Linked DNA regions of Caenorhabditis elegans. The protein of the gene in region 2 interacts with the protein of the main gene of each other region in a pairwise test. Each region holds a gene or a part of one and is shown on either strand. Other genes may lie near its edges.

Evidence for each region.
Region 1: the proteins of T28C6.7 (region 2) and pas-7 interact in a two-hybrid assay, tested with the Caenorhabditis elegans proteins (2 studies listed by BioGRID).

What each region holds. Positions count from the first base shown.
Region 1 is NC_003280.10:10,098,266-10,101,455, reverse strand, and holds pas-7 (Proteasome subunit alpha type-3), read left to right. Parts: upstream 1-1,601; 5' UTR 1,602-1,602; coding exon 1,603-1,672; intron 1,673-1,721; coding exon 1,722-1,834; intron 1,835-1,879; coding exon 1,880-2,449; 3' UTR 2,450-2,674; downstream 2,675-3,190. Other genes in the region: puf-12 (Pumilio domain-containing protein 12), read right to left, coding at 1-50, 103-607, 655-957, 1,008-1,127; lact-2 (Beta-lactamase domain-containing protein 2), read right to left, coding at 2,767-2,991, 3,040-3,190.
Region 2 is NC_003282.8:8,826,237-8,830,827, forward strand, and holds the start of T28C6.7 (Kinesin motor domain-containing protein), read left to right. Parts: upstream 1-1,567; coding exon 1,568-1,717; intron 1,718-1,764; coding exon 1,765-1,978; intron 1,979-2,282; coding exon 2,283-2,758; intron 2,759-2,812; coding exon 2,813-3,205; intron 3,206-3,312; exon of another isoform or gene 3,313-3,452; coding exon 3,453-3,546; exon of another isoform or gene 3,547-3,704; coding exon of another isoform or gene 3,705-3,896; intron 3,897-4,037; coding exon of another isoform or gene 4,038-4,205; exon of another isoform or gene 4,206-4,226; intron 4,227-4,345; exon of another isoform or gene 4,346-4,491; intron 4,492-4,591. Other genes in the region: T28C6.8 (Membrane protein BRI3), read right to left, coding at 3,705-3,896, 4,038-4,205.

The DNA of each region.
Region 1 (3,190 bases), on a different chromosome or scaffold from region 2:
ATAGACGTTCTTTGACATCCTCACTATTTCTGGGGTTAATTCGTTGAACACTGCAATAATTATGTTCTCGTAATTATTCATGGGAACCTTCAAAAAACTTACAGTTGTTAATGATTCCTTCTCTTTCAGTGGCAACAAGACATTCGATAACTCTGCTGGTGTCGTGAGCATAGATCAGCTTGGCAGCGTGTCCTTTTACAAGACCATACAACTCGTGAACCGCAGTATCCTTTTCAGCTTTTGGCGTCTTTCCCATTCTGATCTTTTCCCAAAGTTCCTTGCATTTTTGAGCACGAGCTCCTTCAGGTTTTCTCTTCAATTTCAACTCCTTCAAAAATGCTTTTCTTTCTTTTCTCGGCATATTCAGCAATTGTTCTTTAACAGACTTTGTGACTTGAATAGCTACTCTCTTTCTCTTTAGAGTTGGAATGTCAATATGAGATTCATCTCCACCTGCTTGTTCGTCGACAGATTCCAAATTTTCATCGTCTGCTGGCTCAGAAGCAACGGCTTTCTCTGCATTAACCTTCACTTTTTTCTTTGGGGGAGCGGAATGCTCTTCTTCTTCTTCCTGAGCAACTTTGACAGTCTTCACTTTGGCAAGTTTCTGAAAAAAAACAATTGTGTAAAAGACGATATATTGAATTAACAAACCTTAACCTTCTTATCAAGAGGGGATCTGAGAATTCCTCTTCCTGGAGATGCCTCTGATGGTTTGATTTGAAGATCCTGAACTCGCTTATCGAAAACCTTAACATGTTCAAGTTCTCCTGAGAAAAGCACTTTTTTCGATTTCTTTTTCGGTGCTGGCTGGCTTCCGAACGAAGACTCCGAGCACAAAGAGTCACGAGTCCCATCATTATCAAAAACTGATGTTGAAGATGACTTTTTCAACCTTTCCAACTCGTCCTTCACAGCTTTGTCTACTTTGCTTTTTAACGCTGCTTTTTCTTCAATCTGAAATATTTCACAAAAAATTATTTACAAAATGAAGTAATTTAACAAACCTTAACAATTCGCTTTCTGTCTACTTTGTTGAGTTTTAATCCTTTTGCCTTTTTCTCCAACACATTTTTAACCTTCTTCTTCCCTTTGAATTTTTTATTTTTGTCGTCGAGTTTCACCATTTTTACCCGCGAGATTTCTCTGAAAGACACGCATATTAAAAGGAGTAATAAACACAAGACAATTTTATGTGAGGTTTAAGCGATTTTTACTTTGGAAACAAATTGCACAGCTTCAAAATAGTAACAAAAAGTTACGAAAAAGTAAAGAAAAATGAAAAGAAAATGTTAAAGGCGCATGTTGTCTTCTGACGTCTCTCAATTTACACACTCTCTTCTTCGTCGTTGCGAGACCTGCCGCAATGTTCGTCTCTCCCGTAAATCGACATTGGAAAATCATCATTTGAAATTTTATTTCCATTTAGCTGCCATTTTCAGATTATCAGCTTTTATTTTCGCAATAATTCTACTATTTTTAACGCATTCAAATAAACGAATTATTAAATATTAAATTTTAACGGTTCTTCTGATTTCCGCAGAAATAAAACACGTACCAGTTGCAATCATATATGTGTTAACATAGTTTTTATTTTGCAGAATGAGTTCAATCGGTACCGGCTACGATCTCGCCGCCTCTACTTTTTCTCCTGATGGCAGAATTTTCCAAGGTTTGTTTCGATTTTGCTTTGTTCAAAATACTCATAATCTCGTTTTCAGTCGAGTACGCTCAAAAGGCTGTCGACAATGCAGGAACAATGATTGCAATTCGTGGCAAGAACGGAGTTGTGGTCGTTGCTGACAAGCTGATCTCTTCCAAACTTTACACTGATGTGAGTAATTTAAGAGATTTTCAAGATTTTATCTATAATTTTCAGAACGCTAATCCAAGAATGTTTAACGTGAACGACAATGTTGGTGTCGCAGTTGCTGGAAACTATCCAGATGGTTTCGCTCTGAAGAACTATGCTTACGGAGAAGCAATGAAGTGGCTCAAAGACTACCGTGAGCCAATGCCGATTCAGAATATTGCTAACTCAGTTGCTGAGTACATTCACATTCACACTCTCGGCATTAGTCGTCCGTTTGGAGCAGGAGCCTTCTTCATGTCATGGAACAAACAAACTGGAGGACGTCTTTTCCTTGTGGAGCCATCAGGTCTAAACTATGAATACAAGGCATGGGCTGTCGGAAAACATCGCCAAGCCGCAAAAGCTGAGATTGAGAAGCTGAAGATCGAGGAGCTGGATGTGAATCAACTCGTGAAGGAAGCTGCTCGAATCATTATGGTGGTGCGTGACGAGAACAAGGATAAAAACGTTCAAATCGAAATGGGATGGGTCGGTGAGCAGACGAACGGAAAGTACGAAGAAGTTCCAAGCGAGGTTGTCACTGCTGCCGAGGAATGGGCTATTGCCAAGCTTGACGAGGACGACATGGACGATTGAATCATTCTCGTGTATTTATTCACATTTTTAATTTATTATCAGCTCTCTTCTTTCTGCCCTGGTAAACTTCTTGCGCTCGGCGAGTCATTTTATTGTACTTCAAACCGACTCACCGACTTCAAGAAGAACTTTTTGCACCCGGATGTTTTTTTTTAACTTTTTCTGTTCATTATTTTTCGGTTTCCCGGTATTACCCATTTTTCTCAATACAAATTCAGACAAACCAGAAACATGTTTATGCACAATTCGCTGGGGGCAGTAGACCCGTCCCAAATTATGGCGCTATGTACAAACAAGGATAACAACAATTTTTTAAGTTATGCGGCAACTGCTTGAACTGCTTCCTCGATCATCACACTTTGACCAGTCTTCTGTTTCTCCAAGCACTCAAATACAGAATCTCGAAGATGTCTGTATGTTCTCGTAAGCTCTCCCATTCCAGTTTTCAATCCATTCGAGACGTAGGCAATCGTGATCCCATCTTCCAAATCCATCATTACTGTGCTGCCACCGTAACCAGGATGTCCAACAAGCCACTTTTTCTGAAAAAATAATTGATTTATTATTATATTTATTAAAACGATGCTCACCCCTCCCATTGGATGTCTCTCGTATAGGAAACCATGTCCTTTTGGTAGAGGAGTCATGACAACTTCATCAATCCCCTGAACTTGGGGGGCACGGAACTTTTCTAGAAGTTCAGTAGAGAACAGTTTTCCTTGTTGTACGAGTGAGAAAAGT
Region 2 (4,591 bases):
TAGAATTTATGCTATCAGTAATGCTGATTTTTCAGAAGAACTGATGAGCTTAATAGACACAAATGCCTTTTGAAAATAGAAAGAGAACTGTGTTTCATGGGTTACCAAACTTAGTAAATTTTCTTCTCGATGCTGTTTGATCTATCTTGACCCAAAAACTTTAGTAAGACAGAAATTATTTTAACAAAAATATCAGTTGTGTGCTTTGCTTTTTTACATCGTGCTCTCATGTACTGACAGACAATGAGACGTGTTCTTATAACGTTTTGTTCACAGTTTTCAATGCTTACTTTAACTTTTCTGAATACACACCGCACAGAAAACTAATGATTTAAAATGGCCTACATGAAGAGTTCCAAAACAGAAAATAAAAATTGAAAAGTCATGTTTTTTCATGCCAAAATAGTCATTTGGTTATTTTTACCATCGATTTCTTTTTTGTAATTAATATCCGTATTTAATGTCACTAATATTTCACCGAGCTCTCCCATTATTTGGCCCATACACTATGTCAATGGTCACCGCGAAAGTGAAATGCGCCACCGCAAACGAATGTGCGTCAGCAGAAAATCAATAACGCGGGTGCCGTGTTGGTCGACGTGTCTCTCGAAAGGAACTAATTCGAACCAGTTTTTTGTAGAATTTCGTGTTAAAACTTCATTTTTGATTCTTCAGGAATTAAATTGCACGTAGATTTGTAACTGTTTTAAGTCGTTTCATATATTCTTCCTTATGTTTCAAATTTAGTTATATAACCTATATTTAAATTGCTGTATTAATTCACAGTGCTAGCCAAAGAAGCAACCTTTTTTGGTTTTTGATATTGTTGAGAATGATTAAAATGAATTCCGAAACTATTTCCGAAACTAATTCAGAAGCTAATTCAGAAGCAAATTATTTTTACTTTTGTATACTTGTTCAAATAAGTTAATTATATTCACTAGTACCAAAAAAAGCGGAATTTCTAGAGTATATTATTATTATAGTTAAAAAATGAAACAGTAAATGAAAATTATTTTACTTCAGCAACCTTTAAATACAAAAATAAATATTTTGTTAGTTATACTTCTGATAACTAGGTTACGAGTTATACTTTTGAATAATTTGCAACATTATCAAAAAACTGAAAGTGAATATATTTTTGGCATGCTCCTTATACCTAATCAGTTTATTAACTTTAAAAAACGATTTTTCATCCATTATAAGACTTCTCAAGTAGTGTCGGAAGATTAAAAAATTTTAGAAAAAAAAGGATGTGTTCGGAAAACTTTTTGAAAAAAAAACGTGAGACGCATATTATTGCGTGAGATTAAAATGTGAGCTTTCCACGTGGGTTCAGCGCCTCTCCGTTACGTGGAACGGGGTTTCTCTGTTTCTCTCTCCAATCTCTCGCAGAAAATTTATTCTGGATTTACAAATTATTTAAAAAGTTTTTGAATAATTTTACGTCATCCCTTTTTTTAAACTATAATTTTCAAATTTCTTTTCTTCTCATTGTTTCTTCACGTCCTTGAAGTATACTGTCACTTTTTAAATACGTTAAATACAAATATAATACTTTTCAGAAATGGAGGACAAAACCTCCAAAGAAAAAGAAAAATCGGCCGACAAACGGATCGATGAACGGGTTCATCAACAACTGGTGTATAAGGATAACCGAATTATAGATTTAAATAATGTGATATTGGATAAAGAAAGGCAAATTTTGGACTTACAGGTGAGAATTATTCTGTTTCTGTGGTTTCATATTGGAGTTGTATTTAGGAAAGAGTTCGTGAGCACAATGAAGTTGCTTCAGTCAAAAATCAAGCAATGAGAATTGTTCAACAAAAATTTGAAGAAATGAATAGAGACAAGAAGGATATGTCGACAGAAACTGAGCCTTCTTTGATGGCTCATTCCTCAGTACCATTATCAAATTCAAAGAGTGAACGGAGAGCAAGAAGTTCATCTCCAGGTCATGTCATTGCACAGAGAAGTGAGTAAAGTTTTTTGGTTAAAAAAAAATGAAGTTGTCATGCACCATTTCTGAATATATATGACGTTCAGTTTTATTTTTAGAATTTTTTTATTATTCCCAAACAGGAAAATTGCTGATCTTAGACGTGTTAGGACAACTGTAACCTACAGTAATCTAAAGGTAGCTTGCCCAAGTAATTTGTATGCTCCTCTTTTTCTTGAAAATAAGCTCGAAAATTGAGCACACGGCTAGAAATTGAAAATTGTGACGATATAAAACTTTTTTTTAAAGTTTAACGGAATTGAATTGATCTATTTTTCAGAAACGATGGTCTCAAGTTCATCGGGAACCTTCTCTCCTCCACCATTGGATCCTCCATTTGATCCATCTAGCAAACTGAGCGCTCTTCCAGATATTGACGGAATCCATAGGAAACATCAAAGAAAACGTGTAACTTTTGATTTAAATCCAAATGGTTCTTCAATTGGAACATCAACATCTTCCAATTTTCCATCTACATCTGTTTCCCGCTATCCCACCATTTCAATGTCTTCTTCAACTTCAGACGCTCTCGAGTCTGCTTTAACAGAAGCTTCATCTGAAAATGCTTTACTCCGTCAGCAAGTTATCGAACTAAACTCATCTGTTGAAAAAATGAAAGCAGACTATGAATCTGAAATTCTCAAATACACAAAAGAGGCAAAAACTGCTGGACTCAAGGCAAAGGTTGCGGCGACTGCAAGAATCAAGGAGTTGGAAACTACACTTGAAGATATCAATGGAAAATATGAAGATGAGGTAAGTGAAATAGATGAATATATCATTTTGTATAGAAACGTTTCCAATTTTCAGAGGGATCGTCTTCAAGAAGAAGTTGACACTCTCCGATCTTCTCGAAATTGGGAAATAGAACAAAATGCTCTTCTTCGTGATCAAGTTGCTCATTTGAAAGAAAAAGTTCACAAGTTGACAACAGAGTTAGATGCTAGTGAAGTAGCCAAACGATCCTTGAGCTCAGAAGTTGACGAATCTAAAAAGCTGATGGAATTGATGGTTGAAGATCTCCTTCAAGCTGAATCCGCTATCAACTACAATCAATGTCAGAAAAAAGCTATTTTTGAGGACATTGACCGATTGAAGGATGCCATTCAAGCACAGGATAGATTTATTGAAGTTCTTGAAGCTGATATTGTCATCTATGAGCAACATATTGGACTTTTGAGAGAGAATTTGGGTGCTTCACAGGTAAGATTTTTATTTCCTGTTGAAGCTCATTTTTTCCATAAGAAAATCTTTAACATCTCGAAATTTCTAGTCTAGAGAAAAGTCAATTGAAATATCTATAAAAAAGAAAAAGTATTATATTTATTAACGGAAAAATTCTGGAAATATACGTTTCAAAGTTATGTAATTAATCACACTGAAACCCGTAGTTTAATTGACCAAAATCAAACAGAAAAAGAAACTGAAAAATATTTCAAATAATTTACAGGTCGATCATCGAGCACTGATAAAATCAAAAGCTTTCGAGACGAAACTATTGGCTTTGGAACGCGAAAAAGAGCAAAGTGACAAGAAATCAAATGGTGAGACGATAGGAGACTTTTTTGTAAAGAAAAATGGGATAAGTATCATTTAAAACTTCTGATCAAGTATCAGAATAATCGGAAATATTTACTTATGAAAATTACTTAAACGTAACAAACCCCTTTTGAAACCCTGGCGAAATCAAAAATTCAAAAAATTAATCCACAATTGGTGCAGTTGATAGTGTGGTGGAAACTGTAGAATCTGTGGATGATGCTGTCATTGCCGGATTACGATATGCAGCAAAACTAGCTGGAAGAGCCGTTTTTGTAGATTCGTACAAACGGAAGTTGTAGCCCAATCCGGGAGTTCTTGGTAAAATAGCACGGGTTTCAGTACGTTTAACCACCTGCAACATTTGATTTATTAAAAACGAGATAAGACATTAGCTATTGCAGAACACCAATACATTTCTTTAGAAATTATAACTAAAGCTCTCATTTTCATAAGAACTAAGCCTTCTAATTTTATTTTGAAAGAAAAAACTCACATCACATTGACATTGTGTGCAATAGTATGTTTTCCGTTTCATGCAGCAGTAGATTCCACACGGAAAGCAAAAAATTGCGTATAAAATTGCTCGCCAACTGAAACGGCTTTTCACTTTTTTCTGAGTGCAAGCCGGACATGACAGATTAGAAGATGTAGTGGATGACATGATGGTTTTGAAGTTTTACATCTGAAATTTAAGCTTTAAAAACTTTTTAAAAAGTGTTTGAAGAAGGTGTGCAGCAGTTTCATATCTGGAAGCTCATACGTGCTTCTCCGTTTATGAGAATAAATTATGCCTAAACTCACTTGCCACATCGAATCGTGTTCCAATAATGCAAAAAAAAATTAATGTGGGACGCAGCGTGTCAATAATCGATGGGAGAGAAAGGACAAAGTATCCGCTCGACTGCCACCTCACTGTTTTCGCCTAAAGTATCACAATCAACTAAAGATAGACATAGAGAGAAACGGCACGCAGATATACAGACAGACAGGCAGACATATAGAGAAATTAGAGAAACATTGTTTTGTGTTGACAATACAAGAGGTCTG